3 linked regions of the Alligator mississippiensis genome follow. Each later gene encodes a partner of the first gene's protein in a complex. Links are inferred from orthologs where the notes say so. Each region holds a gene or a part of one and is shown in the gene's direction. Other genes may lie near its edges.

Region 1 (6,008 bases):
CTGGACAGCGCGGAGAAGGTGAGGTAGGCGACGTAGCAGCTGATGATGGAGGCCTGCAGGAGGCTGGAGCGTGGCTGCTCTGCAACCAGAAGGCCCGGTCAGCCCTTCCGCGTGGGCAGGCAGCAAGGCCAAGGCCTGGTCTGGAGGGTGCCATGTGCCCTCCCTTCCCTCAGCCCTCCCGCGTGGGGCTGGGGGGCAGGACAGGGCCGGGGGGGTGCGCCTGCCCCTACACGTGCAGTCCCAGAGTTAGCACCGGACATGGGGTCAGGCCTGATCCTGGGCTCCCACCGCTTCCTCCCCCTGTAGCCACGCCAGGTGCAGCCCAGACCCCCATCCTGCTCCGAGCCGGACCGGCAGAACCGAAGGCGCCTGGGGGCCAGCGCCGGGCACTCACTGAGTCGGACGCAGGGCGAGACGGAGACGAGGGACACGAGCCCGCAGAGGCCGGCGTGGAGGGCGAGCAGGGCAGCGCCCAGCGGGCGGGCGGGCGGGCGAGCGTAGCGCTGGTACAGAAGGGAGAAGGCGGCGACGGCGATGGCGTAGAAGCCCAGCGTGGCCAGCAGCACCGCCGCACCCCAGCGCCCGTCCCGGGACGCCCCCATCTGCCTGGGGAGGGGAGGCAGTGAGCCCGGTGCCCTGGGGACACGGGCCCTGAGTCCACGCTGGAGGGAGGCAGCTGGAGCAGCCCCCGGCCCTGGCAGGGGAGGGGGACCCACCAGTTCTTGTTCCAGGTGTGGGCGAAGGCTGTGATCAGCACCAGCTGGAGCAGGATGAAGGCAAAGCCACCGCAGATGCCCACGTAGCGCCAGGCTGTGGCCAGGGGAGCGTCAGGAGCCACCGCCTGCTTGGAGCCCAGCCCCCACGCCCCCCACGCCAGGCACCACATCCCTCCCGTGGGCTGCAGGGTCCTTGTGGAGACGCGGGCCTGGCCCAACCCAGCAGGGACCAGCTTAGGGCGGGGGGAAGTGGGGCACAGCCTCTGGGGCGGCATCGAAGGCTGTGCCCTCGGGGCGCAGCAAGGGTCGAGCCTCGAGTGGCTGGTGGGGGCCAGGCCCTGGCTGGGCTGGTGCCCCTGGCACCCCGGGTCTGTGCCGGTACCTGGCAGGAAGCGGTCGGCAGGGATGAAGAAGGCGGCTACGCAGAGTCCGACCAGGATCAGCAGCTTCGGGAACCAGAACCTGCAGCACACGCCAGCGTTAGTGCCCGGACCCACCCCGAGCACCCGTGGGGCTGGCGGGGGCCTCACCCGTTGTGCAGCTGGGCGCGGACGTCGCGGCTGGACCTCACGTTGAGCAGGAGGGTGGCCTGGGCCAGGTAGAAGCCGGCGGTGCCGAAGCAGACGCGGTAGACGGCCGCGTAGCCCACCAGCGCGTCGCAGTCAGCGCCCCCGGGCAGGCGCTGGCACAGCAGGGCATAGAAAGGCACCTGTGGGCAGGATGCGGCCGCGGGTCAGCTCTGGCGTGGGGACAGGCCCCGCGGCACGGCACGGTGCAGCGCCCCGGGGCCAGGCCAGCCCCAGCCCCCGGCCCGGCCCACGCTCACGTGGTCCTTGAGGGCGTCCGAGACGGTGCGGGACAGCAGGAGGCAGCAGACGGCGCAGGCCAGGACGTGGAAGAGCGTGTAGAGCAGGCGGGTCTGCGTGGACGCCTTCATGCCAGGTCTGCAGCCACAGCCACGGCTGACCTGGGAGGAGCATGGGGCTCACGTGGCTGCCTGGGGCTGTGCCTGGACCTGGGCTGAGATCCCCATCATGCCCATGGCTGCCCACGGGCCAGGGCACAGAGCCAGCCCAGCCTTGCGAAGCGTGGCAGAGCCTGGGGCACGGGCACAGCCGACCACGTCCCCCCGTGCCCACTGCTGCCAGGGAGGCCCAGGCTGGAGTCATGCTGCAGCCGGAGTCAGGAGCCAGGCACGGGGCCTCCCAGGTCGTGCCCATGCACCCTGTGCCAGGACAGCCCCTGCCCAGCACCGCCCCCGGGGATTAGAGGGGATTGGGTGGCTCAGGCGCCTCTCGCCATCTGCCCATGGTGGCTGCAGAGACCCCCGCCCCGCCCCGCCCCGCCCCGCCAGGACCCGCCGTGGGGCCCTGGAGCTGCGTGGCTCCTGCTCCGTGCTGTGCTGCGCCCCCACCCCAGGCACAGCTCCCCCAGGCCCCGCGGACTGGAGCGCACACCGCTGCCCCCGTCCCCCCTCGCGGGCACACGCTCCGGGAGGGATTAGAGCTGCTAATTGGCTCAGACTCCCCAGACTTGCTTCCCCGCGCAGCCAGGCCAGGACATGAGCGGGGGTCCCAGGGCTGTGGAGGAGGAGCCTGCGCCAGCCCCACACGCAGGAGTCCCTCCATGCCCCCTTCCCCTGCAGTGTCTGGAGGGTGCAGCCCCCACCCTGGGACCAGCGCTGCCACAGGGACTGCGACGCTGCCCCGAGGGCCTGGCCCTGCCTGCTCGGGGTGCCTGCGCCCAGAGGAGCTCCCGTTGCAGCCGGCGCCCAGCAGGCCCTGGGGTCCTCCCTGCATGACCCACCTGATGGGGAAGGCTTCCCGCCAGCGGCAGCCCTGGGGCTCAGACCCCCTTGCTGCCCCTCAGAGCACAGCAGGGCTGGGGCCAGGGCGTCCTGTGCACACAGCAGCCTCCTCTGGGCCCCGCCACGCCCTGGCCGATGCTGCCGAGAAGGGGGCTCCGCAGCCCCCACGCTGCTCCCACCTGTGTCTGGTGGCCGCTGGGCATCATCCCACGCCCAGTCCCGAGACCGACGGCTCCCAGTGGAGATGCCAGGTGGACTGCGCCAGCCCCCGGGGCATCAGCCTTGGCTGATAGAGTGTGAGCCACGCAGCCCCGGCACTGCCAGTCTGTGCAAAGGGGAAGCCAATTAGGCAGCTGCCTGCCATTGGCCACGGGGGGGGGGGGGGGGGACCTGGGGTGAGACAGGTCTGCAGCAAACGTGATTAGGCTGGGAGCCAAATGCAGCCTCTTAACCCTCTTACCAGCCGCAGGGCTTAGCCGGTTCCACAGCACACAGACCGCGGAGCCCCATGCCACGCTGCCAGCCACGGGGGCTCCCAGGCTGGATGGGGGGGCAGAGGGGGTCCCCCGATGGCAAATGCAGAGTGCAATGCACAGGGTGGGGGTGGGGGTGGGGGCCGAGCCCTTGGCCCTGGGGAACGTGACAGCGCAGAGCAGCCCGTGGCACTCCCTGCTGCAGGGAGCCCCAGCGCCAAGGGCCGGGTGAGAGGTGGGGACGTCCGTGCCGGGCAGGGGTTGCCAGCAGAGCCGCAGGGAGCTGCCCCGGGCCCAGCTGTGCCCAGAAGGGCGGCAAGGCCGAGGGGAGCCAGAGCGGACCGTGCTTGTCCTGCTGCTGCTGCAGGGACCTGAGGCCTGGCTGGGCCAGACCCATCCCGGGCCCCGTGGGGTGTACGTGGGGATCCAGCTGGCAGGGACCATCCGCCAGGGTGAGGCCCAGCCCACACTGGCCTGGTCAAGCTCAGCTGGGCAGCAGGCTGCCCGGCCGTGCCCCCGGCCTGCTTGCAGCTCCCAGACCTGACTCCATGCCCTGAACCTCTTGCCTGCTCCTCCCTGGACCTCCTGGGCCAGATCAGTCGCTTGCTCGGTCACAGCCTCACCTTGGCCCTTGGCTGCTCTCCTGGACTCGGGCTGTCACCCAGGTTTGACCCCTGCCCTAGAGTGACCGCCCATGCCCCGGTCTGCCCCACAGCTGTCCCTCAATGTGGGGGGGCAGGGTGGCAGGGGCCAGGGGAGCGCGAAGGACAGGGCAGCCACAGGCAATGGGGCCATAGAAGTGACTTTCCCAAAAGTACCGAGAGCAGTTAGCTGAGGATGAGCAAAGTCATGAGCACCCGCGCTTCAGCGTGCTGCGCCCGCGCTCCACCGCGGAGCCCCCCGCGGCCTTACACAGCTCTTTCCCGCCGAGGGACGGGGAAACGCCCACGCTGCACGTGCACGGGCCTGCTCGGGCACAGGCATCTGCAGACCTGCGCCATCCCTGGCGCCCCGAGAGGTGGCCAGAGAGGGCAGGCCGGAGCCGGGGCCCGGAGGCTGCAGAGGGGAGCGCACAGGCTCCCAGGTGGACCCTGGGGCCGCGGCGGACGAGCAGCTCCAGGGAGCAAACCACAAAACTGCAGCGCAAAGGGCTCGGTGCGACCGTGGCCGGCAACAGGGAGCTGGCGGCACGTCCGTGCGGGGCAGAGTGAGCGGCCAGGGCACAGAGCGAGCAGCGGGGACCAAGCGGTGTCCTGGGAGAGGCTTCGCGCCCGGGCCAGGCGGGGCTCCATCGGAGGCTGCAATGGGCAGAGGGGCTGAAGCCGACCCGCAGGTTACAGTCGGGGCAGCCCAGGAGCACGGGGCCTGGAGCCAGCGCCCGGGGTCGTGGGTGACCCCACGGGGAGCAGCCTGGGGCCGCGCCGTGACCGCCCCACGTGCTCCGTGGGCTAGGACCGCAGCGCCCGGGGCGGGGGTCCAGGGCCCTGCAGCGCCTGGGCCGCTCCGCACCGGGGCTGCGCCGGAGGCGGCCCCGCGGGCCCGGGCGTCGAGCAGGGCCAGCGCCACGTGCCAGCAGCGAGCGCACGAAGGGCAGCGGCTTCAGCGCGTCGATTGCGCATGCTCGGGCGCAGCGGCCCGCCCTCCCCGCCGCCAGCCAATCCGACACCGGGCGGAAGTGGCGCACGGCCGCTCTGCTCCGCGCAGCCGCGTGTCGCCGGGCCCGGAAGCGGCGGCGGCGGCGCGATGGCGGCCGAGGGGGACGTGGAGCTGGAGCTGGAGACGGAGCCGAACGGGTCGGCGGGCGGCGCGGACGGCGGGGGCCGCGCGGCGGAGAAGCCGCGGAAGCATGACAGCGGCGCGGCCGACCTGGAGCGCGTCACGGACTACGCGGAGGAGAAGGAGATCCAGAGCTCCAACCTCGAGACGGTGCGTGCCGGCCGGCGGGCGGGGGCCGGCGGGCGGGGGCTCGGGCCGGGCCCGCGGCTGACCCGCGCTGTCCCCCACAGGCCATGTCCGTGATCGGCGACCGGCGCTCCCGGGAGCAGAAGGCCAAGCAGGAGAGGTGAGGGGGGGCGGGGGCGGCAGCGCACGCGGCCAGGCCGCTCCTCCGGCCCGGGGCGAGCCTCGTGCCCGCGAGCACATGCTCCGGCTCCGGCGGAGACCCGGGGCTGCACGCCACTGACGCCCGTGTCCGCGCCCTCCTTACAGGGAGAAGGAGCTCGCCAAGGTCACCATCAAGAAGGAGGACCTGGAGTTGATTGTGAGTGCGGAGGGGCTCGCGAGAGCGGGGGACGGAGCTGCTGGGGCGGTCCCGCCGTGCTCACCCCGCTGCTCCTTCCCTGCAGATGACGGAGATGGAGATCTCGCGGGCGGCGGCGGAGCGCAGCCTGCGGGAGCACCTGGGGAACGTGGTGGAGGCCCTCATCACCCTCACCAACTGAGCCTGCGGCCGGCAGCGGTGGTTGGACACTCTGTGACTGATGGGAATAAAGACACCATCTGGCCTGGGCTGTTGGTGCCGTTTATGTGGAGCTGGGCACAGGAATCCGCCCGCTCGAGCGGGCTCCGGCGCCCCTGCCCCCCTGCGCAGGCGGGAGTCGGCTGTCTGGGCGCTGGCGCCTGCTGCACTGAAGGGCTGCAGCGCGGGCACGTTTGACGAGGGCTCCCGCGTCCTTGCTGCCCTCGGGGCACTGACCCGCTGCTCCCAGGGGAGGGGAGGCTGTTCCTGCTCCAAGGCACCATCTCTGCCCCTGCCCAGGCTTGGCATCTACCTGCAGTGTTTCGTCTCGTCCTTTCCTTCCTGGTGCCACCTGGAGTCTCCTTTAGGGTTCTCAGGCTGAGCCGGTCTTTCACTGGAAGTGATTGGGGGTCCCAGTGTGCTATGAGCGTGCTCCTTCCTAGGCCTGCCCCTGGTTCTCCCTGTGACCTGGGAAGCTGTGGATGTGTCTGTGAACATGACCCTGTGGGCTTCACTTTGACCGGCAGGTCTTGCGATCGCAAAGCAGGAGGTTC
Region 2 (7,879 bases), on another chromosome or scaffold:
CTGGGGTGGCTCCAGGGCAAGGGAGGGGGTAGGGGATAAGAACTGTGGCGCCTTTGGATGGCTGGGGGGCATGGGGAAAGTATTTAGGGGTATCCTGACATGGCTGGGGCTCTGAGGCAATTGGAGACCCCAAGGAGAGCTTGGGGACAGGAATAGGGGTAGGGTTGGGGGGGGAGGGGACAAGAAGAGATAGGGAAAGGCTTTAGGGGATCCCAGGCTGGCTGGGCAAATGGGTTAAGAGATTGGAGCTGGCTGTGGGGGGGAAGGGATTGGGGTAGTGGAGGGCTGAGGAAAATGTGCTAGGGGATTGGGAAGCCCGGGGGGGGGGAGGGGGGCGTGACAGCAAAGGGGGGCCCCACTGGGGAGGGGCTGGCTCTTAACTCTCCACCCCAGCTGTCAAAGCACTGGAAGGACAGTGACCGCGAAGATTTCCTTGATGACTTCGGCTCTGACCCCGAGGATGAGGCACGACCCCGACCCCCCCGTGCTGCCCCAGGCCAGGTGAGATGAGGGGGGGCCCATCAGGGGTGGGGCTGGGAGCCTACATGCCTAGGTTCTCTTTCCTAACACCCCCCATATCTGCTGTGGGTTGGAGCTGGGGGTCGTGGACAGCTGAGTTCCCCCTCACAATCCCCTCTCGGGTGTAGGTGCCTGGGCCCCAGCCACACCCTGGGTTGTCTTCTGCTCCCGAGCCACGGTACTGTAGCGGGGGGCCTAGACACCTGGGTCTTCTCCCCACCAGCCTCCTTCTCTCCCTCCCCCACAGCCCCAAATGGCCACCCCAGCCCTGCCACTGCCCCCCCCTGCAGCCCCTCCGGCCTTGGGGGAGCCAGACAGTGGGGTTGGCCGCACAGATGAGAGCACCCGCAATGAGGAGAGTTCGGAGCATGACTTGCTAGGTGATGAGCCCCCCAGCGGCACTGGCACCCCAGCCCTGCAGCGCCGTGGTGAGCCCCTCCCAGATGCTGTGGTCCCTCCACCTAGCCCCCCAGCCACCCCAGGCCTCACCCCGGAGGAGGCTGAAAGATATCGTGAGCTTCTGGAGCTACGGGGGCACCTCCAGAATGGCAACCAGGGTCCCCCCCTTTACCGGGGGGTGCCAGGGGGCCTGGATGTCAACCGCAATGAGGTAGCTTTGCTGGAGGAGGAGCTGCGGCACCTGGAATTCAAGTGCCGCAACATTCTCCGTGCCCAAAAGATGCAGCAGTTGCGGGAGCGGTGCCTCAAGGCCTGGCTATTGGAAGATGGGGGGCCAGGGGGCTATGAAGTCTCCCTAGGCGGCCCCCCCCATGCCTTGGCTGATATCACGGAGCTCCCTGAAAGCGCCTATAACACAGGTGAGAGCTGCCGCAGCACCCCTCAGCTGGAGAGCCCACTCCGCCAGCCCCCCATGGGCAACCTCAACCGGCCTCCAGGTCCCCCAAAAACTCGGCGCCCTAGTGAGGCCCGTCCAACCAAGCGTAGCCCCCGGGAAGCTTCACCCAGTCGTCTAGGCCGCAAGGACAACATGGCTGTTGTTGCTTCAGCACCGCCAGGCCTAGTGCCTCTGTGTGCCAGCGAAGCCTTGCCAGGAGTAGGCCGGGGTGGGGAATGGCGGGGCAAAGGTGCCAAGAGGCCTGTGAGAGACCGGCTTCTCAAGGCACGGGCCTTGAAGATCAGGGAGGAAAGAAGCGGGATGACAACCGATGACGATGCCATGAGCGAGCTGAAGTTGGGCCGCTACTGGAGCCGAGAAGAACGCAAGCAGCACCTGGCCCGAGCCCGGGAGCAGCGCCGGCGCCGTGAGCTGATGCTCCAGAGCCGGCTGGAAGCAGCAGGGGCATCCCCCGAGACCTCAGCCGTGGCCCTGGGCCACCGCAAGACACTGAGGAAGCGGAGCCGCCGCATCCTCGACAACTGGCTGACCATCCAGGAGATGCTGGCCCATGGCAGCCGTGGGGCCGACGGCCGGCGGCTCTACAACCCCCTGCTCTCTGTCACTACTGTCTGAGGGGGAGTTCCACCCCCCGCCTCCACCTCCCACAAGGCCTGTTGCCCTGGCAAGGCTGGCCCCGCTGAGCTTGTGGCTGTGGGAGGCTTTGCCAGGCTTAGTCAGCCACAAGGACAAAATGGCCACCATTGCTTTTGCAGTACTGACCTTTGGTCTAAGTCTAGGGCCAAGGGTGGCTTTGCCAAGAAGAATAGGCCACAGGGGTGACATGGCTGCTGTTGCCCTGGCGATGCCCACCCCAGCCAAGCAAGGGCCTGGGAGGCTTTGCTGGGCCGAGCAAGCTGTGCGGGCAATGTGGCTGCTATTGGTCTGGCACTTCCTGCCCTAGCCCGGCGTGGGGAAGGTTCACTAGGTTCAGTAGGCCACAGGGACAATATAGCCACTGTCACCCTTCCCTGCTGGGTCTGGAGGGGTTTTGCCAAGAAAAGTAGGCAGCAGGGGCAAAGTGACCAAGACTGTGCCTGGGGAGGCTTTGTAGCCACTGTCAACCTGGTGCTGCCTGGCCTGGGCCCTGTAGAGGCGTTACCAGGCCAAGCAAACCACACTGACACCATGGCTAGGCTACCAGTACCCCAGACTTTCAGGTGGAACAAGCGCCTGAAAGAACCCAGATGTCTGGGTTCCTTTCTCCCAAGACCATGTACAGGGACGCACCCCCCGCATTGGAAAGGTCCTGAAATGAATTGGAGGGAGGGGGGGGACTAGCTGAAAGTGCCCCCCCCCCCCAAGGGGGAGGAGGTGTGCCACAGAACTGGGGGCTGGCTTTAGGAGGGGGTTGAACGAATGGAAGAGCCTGTAAGGAGATGCTGGAAAAAGGGGTCCCCATGAGCAGAACCCTGACATCCATCCAGTGGGGATACCCCTCCCTCCAAGAAGCCAGGCCCCCCTGCTTGCAGCTGCCCCCAGCCTATGGACAATGGTGGGAGGGCTAGGATTACCTGCCCCCCCCCAGCACAAGGACAGGCGGGGGGGGGGGGGGGGGGATCTCCCCTGCGGGGCTTGCTTGTGTCTGTGATTGTGGGTGTTTGTGGTTTGCCATCTGTATCTCTTGGGAAAGGGGAGTAACCTAGGTGCCTAAGGCTTCCCTACCTCCTTCCCTGCCTCCAACCTCCCCCTTCCCTCAGTGGCCAGGGGCCCCAGGTGCTTAGAACCTTCCCCTCCCCCAGAGCACAGAGAACCTAGGCATTCAGGTTCCCCCAATGCTCATCCCTATCAGATACCCCCCCCTCCCCCAGCCAATACCTAGGGAACCTAGGGCACACCCTGCTCCCTCCCAAGTTCCCTGTAGCCCATGCCAGCAAAGAAGTCTTGTGTCCTTGCCTCACCCACCTTCCATGCTCCCCACCTTTCCAACGTTGAACCTAGGTACCCTAGCTCTCAGCCCTTGCCCCTCTTCCTCTCCCCCCACCCTGGAGGGAACCCAGGCATCTTGGTTCCCCCTGCATACTTCTTCAATGCCCAACGGACCCAGACGACCGGGGTCCCCGCCTCGCCCCGTAGCTCCCCTCCAATGCCCCGAGGAACCCAGGCGTCTTTGCTCCCCGCCCCACCTCCCCCAACCGGAAGGGAACCCAGGCGTCCAGGTCCCCCGCGCCCCTCCTCATTGCTTGTCTCTTCACCCCACGCCCGCCCTCAGCAGGGGGTTCGTTGGTTGTACAGCGCGGTGCGGGTGGGGGCAGGGGAGGTCCTCCCGGACGCCTGGGTCCCGGGGGCGCCGTGAGAATAAAGCGCCGGGTGGTTTTTACTCGTTTCAAGTCGTCGCCTCCGGGTTGTTGCTTTCTTGAGGGGGCGGGTCACCCCCAGAGCCCCCCATCCTCTACCGCTTCCACCCCAGAACCAGCGGCATTGGAGGGGGGGGGGGGAAACCACCTCGGGGCGGGGCTTGGGGGTTAGGCCCACCCACCCAGTCTGGGAGTCAGGCGACTGGGTTTGACTCCGGCCCACCCGGAGCCAGGTAGTGAGGAGCTCCACCCCAGAGCCCGCATTAGTGTGGGAGCAGGAAACGCCCCCGAGTCAGGCTTGGGGTGAAGCCCCTGTCCCAGAAGAGCCCGGACGCCTGTGCTCTTTAATCAATCCAATCAAGATGAAGAAACCAGGAAATGACAGTAATGGTAACTGCGGGCTGGAGGCGGCTGTTCCGGCGGTGCCCCCCACTCCCACCCCACCGCTTTGGGTTATCTTGGCTCCGAGCCGCCCCTACTCCCCTCGCAGAGAACCTAGACGCCCACCCTCTGAACCCCACCCCCATCTGAGGACACTACTTCAAAGAAGCTAGCAGCACTACACCAGAGACATCGCCTCCTTTGCCTTTGCTCTCATTGGTCCTCGTGACTGTCACTCCATGCCCTTCAGGGCTATGATTGGTGCTGAGGGTGAGCGGGCGGGAGAAACCATCACGGGGGGGTCTCCTGCTCAGGATTGGCTCGGCAGACGATGCCGCCTCCTGTCTACTGATTGGCTTCTTGGAGCCCAAGCAAACGCCAATCGAGGGATTCTAGACTGTGACTGGCCGGGATTTGGTCCTGCCTCTTAAACCATGTGATTGGCTGCCTCCACCATGGGGGCGGGACTATGGAGTCTATCATTTGATTGGCTAGAAGTAGGGCTTAACTCTGCAGCCACGCTCGTGACTGGCTAATGCTCAGGATGTAGGCGAAACCAAACCCTCCATGTTGCCCAATAGGAAGCTGAGGCCATGGGTGGGCGGGGCTATCCGGCGCCGATTGATTGGCAGCCAGGCGGAGACGGGACTTCATCTTCCCTCCTGCTTCCCCATTGGCGGAGCTGGAAGCCAGAGGCTCCTGGCCTCTGATTGGCCTAAGGGCCTGTTCAGCGGGGCCAAGTTGGTCTCCGATTTGCCTAGCTTGGCCCGAGGGGAGGGCAAGTGTGGCTTCCTGTGCCCTGCCCCTTTCCCCCGGCGGCCCCTCATGGAGCTGGACCTGGAGTGGCCGAGCGAGAGCCATGAACATCCGCAACGCGCGGGTGCGGGGGAGGGTTTGGGTGCCTGGGGGGGGCGGTGAGGAGCCCGGACGCCTGGGTCTCTTGGGAGTTGGGGGGCGGGTGAGGGCCCGGATCCCTGGGTCCGCTGCCCTCTCACCTGCCCTCTCTACCCCCCGCAGCCCGAGGACTTGATGAACATGCAGCACTGCAACCTGCTGTGTCTGCCCGAGAACTACCAGATGAAGTACTACTTCTACCACGGCCTGTCTTGGCCACAGGTGCGCCCGGACTTCTCGGTTCCTTGGGAGGGTGGGGTCTGGCGGGGTGATAGTAGGGACTAGGAGCCCGGACTCCTGGGTTCTCGGAGAGGGGAGGGGGCTCGAAACCAGGATGCCTGGGTTCCTTCCCAGCTCAGGGAGGCTTGCCAAGGCAGTGGATAGGAGCCCAGGCTGGTTTGACAGGGCCCTGCCTGTCGCTCCAGCCACCACCCAGGAGATGCCCAAGGGTATTTCATACCTCATTAAAGGTATTAAATAAATGCCTCACCCCTTCCTCCCAGCTGGAACCCCACCCCTCCCCCACTCCCCTGGCCCTATGAGGGGGGGTGCTCCGGGTCCAGAGTGAGGGGCACAGAGAGGATTGGGGGGATCCCCTTGCCCCCTAATTTGTATCTGCTCCCCCAGCTGTCCTACATCGCTGAAGATGAGAATGGGAAGATCGTAGGCTATGTACTGGCCAAGATGTGAGTGGGGTCACCGGCTGCAGGTTGGGAGTGAGGGGCACTGCTGTGCTGTATGCGGCAGGCTGCGGGTCAGAAGTAATGCTGAGGGACACCATGAGGCTACAGGAGGGCTGCAGGTTGGGAATGAGGGGCACCAATATGGGGGTGAGGTTGTTGAGTGGGTCTGTAGTTGGAGGTGGGGCTGTAGATTGGAAGTGAAGGGCACCATGAGGCTATCAGCAGGGCTGCAGGTCAGGAACGAGGGACATTGTGGGGATGTAGAGGAGGCTACGGGTTGGGAGTGAGGGGCACTGCAGACCCCCACCATGGGACTGAGCTCCTTCATTTGCTCACCAGGGAGGAAGACCCCGATGATGTCCCCCACGGACACATCACTTCTCTGGTGAGTCCTACCTCCCTTCCCCACCCCGGGCACTTAGTTTGGTGGGGGGCACATGGGAGTCTGGGGATTTTCTCCCATCCGCAAGGAGATGATGGAGGTTTGGGGAGGGGATCTGGAGCGGGTGAGGGAGGAGGGCAGATGCAAGTGGGGCTGGGAGCCCAGACTCCTAGGTTCTCTGGAGTCTGTTGGGTGGGAAGGAGCAGGAGAGTGCTGGGAGCCTGGATGATAGGGTTCTTTGGGAGAGGGTGGGACGTGAGAAGGGGTCTGGAACCCTGATACCTGAGATCCCTAGTTTGCAGGTCTGGGGAGGCTGGAAGCCCAGACACCTGGGTTCTCTGGGAGTGGGTGGGGGTTTTGAATTGAGAACAGGGGGCTGAGAACCAGGATGCCTAGTTTCTCTGGGAGGGGAGTGGGGACTGGGGGGGGTAGGAGCCTGGATGCCCAGGTTCCCTAGTTCAGAGGTCTGGGAGGGGCTGGATGCCCCGATGCCTGGGTTCTCTGGGACAGGGGTGGGGACTGGGGGGTACCTGACCATCCTCTCCACCCCCAGGCAGTGAAACGCTCTCACCGGCGCCTGGGGCTGGCACAGAAGCTCATGGACCAGGCCTCTCGTGCCATGATTGAAAATTTCAATGCCAAGTACGTGTCTCTGCATGTCCGCAAGAGGTGAGTGACCCCTAGCCCCTGCCTGGAGTTCCCTGGGGTCCCTTGGGTCTAGTCCTGTATCCCCCCTACCCTGGTCCTGCCTTCCCCCAGCCATGTCCATAGGGCTGCAGGTGACCAAAGGGGCAGTGACTCCTGACTTTTAACCCTATAATGACTCTCATCCCCCACACAGTATAGTGGTGAGTAACTCCTGACTATTGAGCTCATGGTTATCTTGATCTTACACACATGCATACATGAGCCTTGACCTTTGACCTCCTCACAGTGACATTGACTGTCCATGCATTCGCCATAAGGGTGTGAGCCCTGACCTCTGACCCCACAGTTACACTGACCACTACACCCCATAGTGATGAGTGGCCCCTGACCTTTGACCCCATGGTGACCTTGAGCCCCCACACACACTGGGGAGGGGTTTTGACTTTTGATCCCATGGTGATCCTGCCTCCTTATACCATTATGCCAAAGGGTTGTGATCTTGACCACCTCATGGTGTCATGGTGGTGGCTGATCCCTGTTCCCCCTCTGTGGGTCACCACTCATTCTATGACCTCTGACCCCTGAACTCCGAAGCCACACCAACTATCTGAGTGGAGAGGGGGGTAACCTCATGACCCTGCCCTGTGACTTACGCTCTTCTAAACCACTTCATGCCTCACCAGAAGTGGGAGCTGCCCCCTCAGATATGCCCCCCTGGGGATAGGGCAAATACTGTGCCTTAGGGAGCCCTGGGGCAACACCCCCCCACCTAATACCCGCCTTGTCTTGTAGCAACCGGGCAGCTCTGCACCTCTACTCCAACACCCTCAACTTCCAGTGAGTCCACGGGGGGTGATGGGATAATGGTGGCTCCTGGGGAACGATGTGATAGCAAAGGACTGGGGATGACAGGCTTGTGGAGGATCCAGGGGGAGAGCCGGGGGGGGTAGTAGGGGTGAAGCCTGGGGGTGATGGGATAGTGGAGGACTGCCAGCGGGGACTGGCTATGGGCATTGGAGGGAGCTATGGGACTGTCTGTGCCAGTCAGGTCCTGGGCTCCCCCTTTAATATTTCCACCCCATTAATAAGAGGCCACCTGTAGGATCAGCGAGGTGGAGCCCAAGTACTATGCGGATGGGGAGGACGCCTATGCCATGAAGAGGGACCTCACACAGATGGC
Region 3 (7,647 bases), on another chromosome or scaffold:
CATGATTAGTACACATTAGACAACCACTGCTGCAGCAAGCTTCCTGTAAATTGGGTGACTTACATTTCCTTTTCCAATTGAGAAAACCTTCAGAAAAGGGGGGGGGGGGGGGAGGGTGGAAGAGGGGGGTGGGGAAGAAGCAGAACTATAATGGATCATGTCACTGTAAATAAATGTGGAAGTTAGACAAGATTTCATAGGCCTTAGGGCTGGAAGGGACCTTAGGAGATCATCAAGTCCAGCCCCCTGCCCCACAGGCAGGAAGTCAGCTAAGGTCAAAGGATCCTAGCAAGATAAGAATCCAAATGCTTTCTTAAAGGCGGCCACAGTAGGTTCTCGCAATGGCAATGGTTCTGCTGTTTATAGTATAGGGTCACAGCAAGCTGTCATTCTCCCAGGGGAACTGAACCAGGTCTCCAAACTCCATACAAGCCATCTGGAAGGGAAGCCAATACACTCAGTGATCAACACCTGACAACTAAGGAAATTGTCACAGGAACCAAGATGACATTGATGTCTGGAAGCTGAAACCAGGTTTCAGTGCAGGGAGGGGTGCTGGTGGAGGGCAACCTACTATGAGTGCAGACTTCCCCATTCTTCTCTGGAACAAGTTACTTAAATTGTGAATCTCATATCACCCACCCAGTCCTAAAAATTTTTAACAATGTCACAAATCTTAAGAAATCCACTGCTTGGAAATTACTTCATTCCAAAACCAGATTGTTTCTCAGATTATTATGTTGCAGAAACCAATCAACAGAAGCAGCATTAGATTGTAGTAAGATAAATGTTCTTCATTTAAAAGGCATAGGGGTTTTTCCTGTCTCTGCTTGTGTCTTCTTTTGAGAAACAGTTATCAACCAGGTTACCATAACACCTCTGGGTGCTACAAAATCCCTTTGATGTCACAAAATGCTGGCATTGTTAGGTGTGCAAACACCTATACAAGTCACAAAATAAACCCAAGGATTTTAAATAGGAATCCATTGCATTAAGAAATTCTGATCTGTTGTGGTCTTTTGAGGGGTTTTTTTTTTTTTTGCAATAGAAGTGCTCCATTATTTTTCCACAGTCAAGAAACGAATGAAAACTTAAGAGCTGGCATTTTCTGAAGAGTGCCTTAAGTCTAAAAAAGGTCAAAAACTAATTTTGATATGTCTAAAGTAATTTAAATCTTCATTTCTGTCAAAGGATTTATTTACTTGGATCGGTCTCTGTTCTTAATTGAAGGAACAATATCCTTCAATCTTAAAGATCATTTCTCACAAATGTTTGCCAGTAATTTAAAACTGACAACACCAGTTTTATAAAGGTTAAAAATATTGATGGGTTTCACTTCCTAACTACTTGAGATTTCAAAATTCTAGGCTTGCTACAATCACCTATGGAGTTTCATTGTGGCTAAGATCAAATAAAGGAAGAAGAAATAGTCAAGTATCATCACACAAGTGTTTTGTATTAGGACAATTGTTAATATATTTAATCATCTTAAAAGCAAGTGAGTAGTGAAGCTGGAAATTTTGCATAAGTCAGAACTATTCACTTAGTCAAGACAGAGGGCTGAGTCACCTTGGAGTGACCCAACACAAGCTAGGTTAATAAGCAGTCTGATGGCAGATGAGGTCAACATTGACAAGTGCAGAGAAACTTTTATTGTAGAAATGGTCTTTACTTGTTTATCTTTCCAATAACTGTATCAACTCAGGAAAGAGACATGGGCCTTATTGTGTATAGCTCAATACAGACTTCCATCAACATGGACCCACCACAAACAAACAAACCCAGTCCACGTAAGAAATGGGAAGAAGACAAAAAATATTGCTGTGCTAGGAACCAAAAGTATGCTCTGTAAAACTGTAGGATCCCACTACATCCAAAATGAACACAGTAGAATTAGAAAGATTCAGCTGGGCAATGAAAATGATTACCAGACTGCGAGAACTCACAGAAACATTAAAGAGATAAGGCTTATCTCTTTACAGACAATATAAAAGGACTTGATGGGAGTAAAAAGAATAAGTGGTATAGATAAGGTAGCTATTTCTACTAACGTCTCTTATATTACAAGAAATAGGACAATGGGGATAAGACAACCTCTTTAGGCAGTTATGAAGTAGGACATTGGGATTTGTCCTAAATAGGGGGGGAAAAAAAAAAGATCCAGGATTTATGTTGTTTATTTGATTGATACATCACACTTTCCAAGAAAGGCTTGGGGTAGCTTACAGTAAGGGAACAAAACAACATAAAAGCAAGTAAAATATTAAGTTAAAATTAACCCCCTTTGCCTCCAACAACAGCCTAACTTAGCTTTGTTTGCTAAATGCCTACCCAAATAGAAACATCTTACAGTGCTTCCAGAGGATGTCTAGGCTCCCTTATACCATGAAGCAGCAGAAATAAGGCACAGAACCAACTCTACCTCCTTGGCACATCACACAGTACACATGCACACACTAACTAATGCTAGGTAGGAAAAACAGGCCAAGAAATTTGTCAGTCTTGTCCCCTTCTCTACAAGCAACAGGGGTGGACATGCGTACACAAAAGACCTGCTACAATTTCTTTTGTCTACCCAACCCCCAACCAACAGCAGTCACATTTTTCAAAACATAGTGATTCAGGATGAACCATGCATGAATGATGTTCCAGCCTGGTCTGCTGTCAGGTTTTCTTGATGCTGTTCCTCTCCAACAGGTCATGTGGACACTGCTGATCAGGAAACAATCTCAGTATTTCCAAGTCAAAAGCAATTTAACTTTGTAGTCATGGGCCAGAGAGAGAACTATTTTGGCTCTTCCCCTCTCAAACTACCATCCCAACTACCATTCCTTTTGCAAGGCAATGTAGTCAAGTGATGATGCTAGTACAGGGGTGGGCAAAATATAGCCCACAGGCCAAATATGGCCCACCAAGCCATTTATCTGGCCCATGGGGCCCCTAAAAATATTAATTTTCTAAATTTTATCTGCCCCAGCAGCTTATCAAAGCTGTCAGGAGCCAGAGGCAGTAGGACCCAAGGGGAGCCTCAGTAGGACTGAAAAGCCCAGCCCTGCCCACTCCCAGCCATTTCTCTCCCTTCCTGCCTCCGCCCTGTTCCAGCACCCCCTAGCTGCCAGCTGCACCGCCCAACTGGGGAGCACGGGACTGTGTCAGTATGGGGTGTGTGAATGACTGCACGTATGTATGCAGGCGGGCACAGTGTGTGCATGTGTGTGTAGGCATGGGCAGAGTGTATGTGTGTTCATAGGCTGAGTCCCATACACATGCACCCACACCCCCCCTCGCACTGCCATATACACAGACCCCCCTACATCCCCTCACACCCCCGAGGCACCCCACCCCCCACAATATACAAGCATAAGACTTCATTTTAAGCTACTGTGCAATCATGTCTATGTGTACTGCACAAACGCATGTATATCTGGACAATATTTTTTTAAACCAAATTAATGAATGCTGTAGATGTTTGCTTTTTAAACTATACTTTGGTATTTTTCTGGTTCTGAGATGGCAAAACCTCTTGCTGAAAGGAATACTTCTCGGAGCATGGGGAGGGTCTTCTGGTGGCAAAGGTCAGGTGTTAGGGGGTGGGACTTCCAGTCATAAGATGGCAACCAGGGGGCAAGGCATCTGTCAAGGGGTGGGGCTACCAATACAGCCCTCCACAGCTTGTCAGAACTTGGTAAGCAGCCCTCAGCCTGAAATAACTGCCCGCCCCTGCTAGTAGGACAGCCATTACATACACAGCAAACAAAATGGTAGGCATGTTACCTTATGATCCACCATCTTTCTGAAAAGCCACAGGCCTTGTGGCTTTGAACTGAGGAGCCTAACAAATTGACTCTGTTAGGCTCCCCTAACTTGCTTTGTTGCAAGCAATAAAGACGGAGAGCCTTTTTAAATGACCATCTTTAACAAGCCTTGGATAAATGAATGACAAACGCGGAAGGAGGCAGGGGCTCAGGAAACAGCCTCCCTACGGGCTCAAACGGAGAGGCTGTGCCAAGTCAGAAGCACAGGGAGCGGCATGTCCATGAGACACCTGGTTACCGGCTAACCTACAGCAGTTTCTGGCCATAAGGTCCAGTCCTCGCAACCGCGCGAAAGCGAAGAGCGCCGGTCGCCTACGCACCCGCTCTAGGCGGGACCTGCCTCAGGGACGGGAAAGGCCAGAGCGACGCGGCCGTGGCTCCTCCTACAGCCACCAGCCTAGGCAGGAGCCGGGAGAGGCGACGCTCCCTGGCAGCGGACCTACCCCACCGCTCCTCAACAGGGCAGCCGCCGCAGAACAGGACGACGCGCCCGCCAGGCCGGGAGCCCGTGACGCAGGCGCGGGGGCGCAGCCAGGTCGGCCGCCTCCCAGGGGCCCGCGAGCGTGGAGGGTACATCACCTGAGCACACAGCAAAAACTCCCAGCCTTGGCAGTGGCGGCAGCAACAACAAAACAACTTATCCGTCGCTCCGGACCGCCTGCGCATGCGCTCCCGGAAGCCAGGAAAGCGAGAGAATCCTTCCCACTCACGTAACAGGCGCAAGAGTCATGTGATTTACATCCTGCGGTCATGTGATACAGCCCTCCAGCCATCGCGCGGGAGCATAGTAATACCGCTGGAGGTTACGTAGAGCGTGCCTGCGTTGGAGCGGGCAGCGCGGGGTCACGCCGGCGGGGCGGGGCGGGGCGGGCGGCCTGCGGCCCATGTGGAGCGGGAGCAGGAGGCTGAGCCAACAAGCGCCCAGCGGCGGCAGCAGCAACAGCAGCAGGAGGAGAAGGAGAAAGAGAAAGAGGCCGCCGCGTCGCCAGGCCTTGCGCGCATCCAGTGCGGCCGCGCCATGAAGGGGTGAGTGCGGCGTGGGCCCGGCCCGAGCGGGGCGCCGGGCCTGGGGTGGCGCCGTTCGGCACAAACCGGCCGTCGCGTGACCCCGCTCTCTACCTGCGGGGCCGGGGGCGTTCCGGGGGCGCGGCGCTGCGCAGCTGGTCTCGGCTCGTGGGTTGCGGGTCGTTCCCCCGCGGGGGTGGAAGAAGCCGTCGGAAGGGCCCGGCTGCGCCGCGTTTGCGTGAGGGGAACTCCTCCGCGGGTCCCGGCCGCTGCGGGCCGAACCACGTTTCCGGCGGGGTCTTCTCCCGCGGAGGGTGGCGAGGCGACCCCGCGCCTTCTGGCCCACGGCCGTGTGGTGCTGCGTGTCATTTCTGCATCAGGTGCCTCCCTGGGGAAGGCAGACTTTGCCTGCCTGCCCCAACAGCTGCCTGGAGAGCTGGCAGCAGCCCCACAAATGTAGCTGGCATTGCTCTCTCTTGGGTAGTGTGTGGATGGACCAGAAAGGCTCCTGCTTTCTGGAGTTTGGCCCCTGCCCTGATGGTGCAGGGTTGGTCTGGACTTGCCAGAGCTTGGTCCCTGATGGCCCAGACTGGCCTCAGCATGTGCCAAGCTTCTGCATTGACCATCAGGGCTGGTGCCAAGCTCCAGGAGCCCTGTGCCACCACCCCAGCTGGGCAGTGCCTCCAACCGCAGTCGCCAAACCTGCCCTAAAGGTGCTGGGTGTAGCATGTGCTCCCTCACACCTCAATCTTGGCACTACAAGGTGTGAGGCTACAGCCTGGATGGACCCAATGCTCCATAGCAGTAAGGGTGGCCTGGCATGTGTGGAGTTCCATCTGCCTTGTGACTTCCCATGTGTCACCTGTGCCACCCTCCTCTTCCACCCCCTGCCCCCCCACCCCCAACTTACCTGCAGGTAGCTGCAGGAGCTGCACCCACCACCCTGCCTGGTTGTATTTGTGTGATGTGTTGCATGCATGCACATGGCACCCCCTGCCTCCAGTGGCCCTCCCTCTAACCCCAAACACTACCTTGCAAGCTGGAAGTCTGGTTTCCTGTTTCAAAGGGGAAAATTTGCATTTTTCCATGGGGAAAAAAGAAAACGTGGATTCTTGGTAATCTTCCATTTAATGCCTGTCAATAAAGCAGTGTCCAATATAATCAGGTCTTTAGGTCTTGTGGGCAAAGAGGCAGAGCAGCCTTGTAAGGAATAGGTGGGTATGCAGGAAGAACAATAAAATTGATCAGCAGCAGGTCGCATGTTAGATGTGCTTCTTTATGGCTGAAGCTAGAACTTGGTTTCAGCTTGGATTCCCCAGGTTTTTTGATTTTCTGTGGCTTGGCTCTGCTTGGATTCTATATCAGTTTTGAATTGAAAGAGAGAGTATTATTTCTTAGGCTTGAATACATTACATTGTCTGGGCAACTTTCTGTGTCAGGCCAGAGCAGACTGGAGTCTCCAGATTTACATGTAGTATACAAAATGCGCCTGGGTGAAAACTGTCATTTCTCTTATCTGGGGCTTCAGTGAATCTGAGTTGGGGGGTTCATTACAAAAGAACAGGAAAAACCACCCAAAAACCTATTCCTTGATGGCCCTTTAATAATAGACTTTTTTCTCAGTTGTGCTTTTACTTAAATCAATTGTGAAGTTTGCCAAATTCCAGGGGAGCAGAACAGGCCTGTGATATTCTATACTTTTCTGTCTCTGCTTTTCTGGCACTCCTAATTTTTTTTGGGGGTGGGATTTGCTCCCACAGGTAAGTCCGGGGTGGGGGGTGGGGATTGAGGCCTCCATAATGAGAGGGAGTTGGGTGGGCTGGGGTTTGGGCTGCGGCCCAGCTCAGGCAGTATGTGAGGCTTGGGGCCCAGGGCCATGTGTGGCTGCAAGGCCTGGACAAGGAGTGGGACAGCTCTTCCAGGGGGCAGGGGAGGGGCTGGCTCCCCACTGGTGTACACACTCCTGGCGGGAGTATAGGAGGGACATGACCCTTAGATTTGTGAATGGGGCAGGGGTTGGCTGTGGGCTCAGGGCTCCCTGCTCTGCTGGGTGAGACCCAGTGCAGCAGAGCGGGGCAGGGAAGTTCTGTGCCGCCACCACAAACCCTGTGCTGCCCGGGCAAAGTGCCTCCTGTCTGTCTGGCAGCTGTGGCCCTTCTTGGTCTGTCCCTCTGTTCCTCCTCCCAGAAATGGAGGTGTATGTGGGAGTTCCACCTGTCCTGCCTTGCCTCTGTTTCTGGGAGATAGTGCCAGTTGGACAAGGAAGGGCTGCAGCATGAGCCAGTTCTCCTGCCTGCTTCGGGTTATTGGAGAATCCTAATGCTGAAGGAGTGTATGTGTGCTGCAAGTGTTCTTGGTCTGACTGTGCACCAAACGCATGGGGCAATTTTACCTGGTAGCTGTAAAACCCAGTTTTGAATGGCTCTATATGGGAATTTTCTACTAAGTGCATGTTAGTTAACATGTACTTGAAAGCATAGTGGTAATCTTGGGAGCTTTGTAGATCAGCTCTAGAGCCTGAGCAACAAATGAATGAATGAGGCTCCTAGTGAATAAGGATGAGGGAAGGAACCAGTCACATGGTTACTTGAGTTTTTTATACCTTTCTAATCCAAAACAGACAGGGTATGTAGTTTGCAGCCCTTTCATCCTGCCTCTAATTTTGGAAGAGCTTGCAGCTGCCTGATAGGGTTTTTTTTCCCCATTCCAATGTCACACCCTTTGTAAACACTCACAAGACCTTTGTGTGAAAAAGCTAGATCCAGAAACTCCATTGCAGGGAGCATGCAGGAATCAATAAGCTGAGGGGCCTCTTCTGGTGGCAGCT

Evidence for each region.
Region 2: the proteins of HYPK (region 1) and NAA10 are in contact, whole or in part, in a crystal structure (PDB 6C95), measured with the Homo sapiens proteins. The link is inferred for Alligator mississippiensis from reciprocal best matches to the Homo sapiens genes HYPK and NAA10. Residues at the interface, in NP_057484.4 of Homo sapiens: Lys27, His28, Ser30, Gly31, Asp34, Leu35, Arg37, Val38; in NP_003482.1 of Homo sapiens: Glu24, Tyr26, Lys29, Tyr30, Tyr33, Lys59, Glu134, Lys136, Tyr137.
Region 3: HYPK (region 1) and NAA50 share a complex: the UniProt entries of both Homo sapiens proteins name them as parts of the N-terminal acetyltransferase E (NatE)/HYPK complex. The link is inferred for Alligator mississippiensis from reciprocal best matches to the Homo sapiens genes HYPK and NAA50.

What each region holds. Positions count from the first base shown.
Region 1 is NC_081834.1:732,707-738,714, forward strand, and holds HYPK (huntingtin-interacting protein K), read left to right. Parts: upstream 1-4,693; 5' UTR 4,694-4,739; coding exon 4,740-4,922; intron 4,923-5,002; coding exon 5,003-5,058; intron 5,059-5,204; coding exon 5,205-5,256; intron 5,257-5,341; coding exon 5,342-5,437; 3' UTR 5,438-5,504; downstream 5,505-6,008. Other genes in the region: SERINC4 (serine incorporator 4), read right to left, coding at 1-79, 395-606, 717-810, 1,099-1,178, 1,247-1,421, 1,452-1,653. UniProt on the Homo sapiens protein: Component of several N-terminal acetyltransferase complexes. Inhibits the N-terminal acetylation activity of the N-terminal acetyltransferase NAA10-NAA15 complex (also called the NatA complex).
Region 2 is NC_081831.1:28,666,230-28,674,108, forward strand, and holds the start of NAA10 (N-alpha-acetyltransferase 10), read left to right. Parts: upstream 1-4,861; 5' UTR 4,862-4,951; coding exon 4,952-4,972; intron 4,973-5,109; coding exon 5,110-5,208; intron 5,209-5,613; coding exon 5,614-5,672; intron 5,673-6,008; coding exon 6,009-6,054; intron 6,055-6,604; coding exon 6,605-6,720; intron 6,721-7,491; coding exon 7,492-7,536; intron 7,537-7,801; coding exon 7,802-7,879. Other genes in the region: PDZD4 (PDZ domain-containing protein 4), read left to right, coding at 394-501, 767-1,990. UniProt on the Homo sapiens protein: Catalytic subunit of N-terminal acetyltransferase complexes which display alpha (N-terminal) acetyltransferase activity. Acetylates amino termini that are devoid of initiator methionine.
Region 3 is NC_081824.1:241,147,615-241,155,261, forward strand, and holds the start of NAA50 (N-alpha-acetyltransferase 50), read left to right. Parts: upstream 1-4,629; 5' UTR 4,630-4,833; coding exon 4,834-4,841; intron 4,842-7,647. UniProt on the Homo sapiens protein: N-alpha-acetyltransferase that acetylates the N-terminus of proteins that retain their initiating methionine. Has a broad substrate specificity: able to acetylate the initiator methionine of most peptides, except for those with a proline in second position.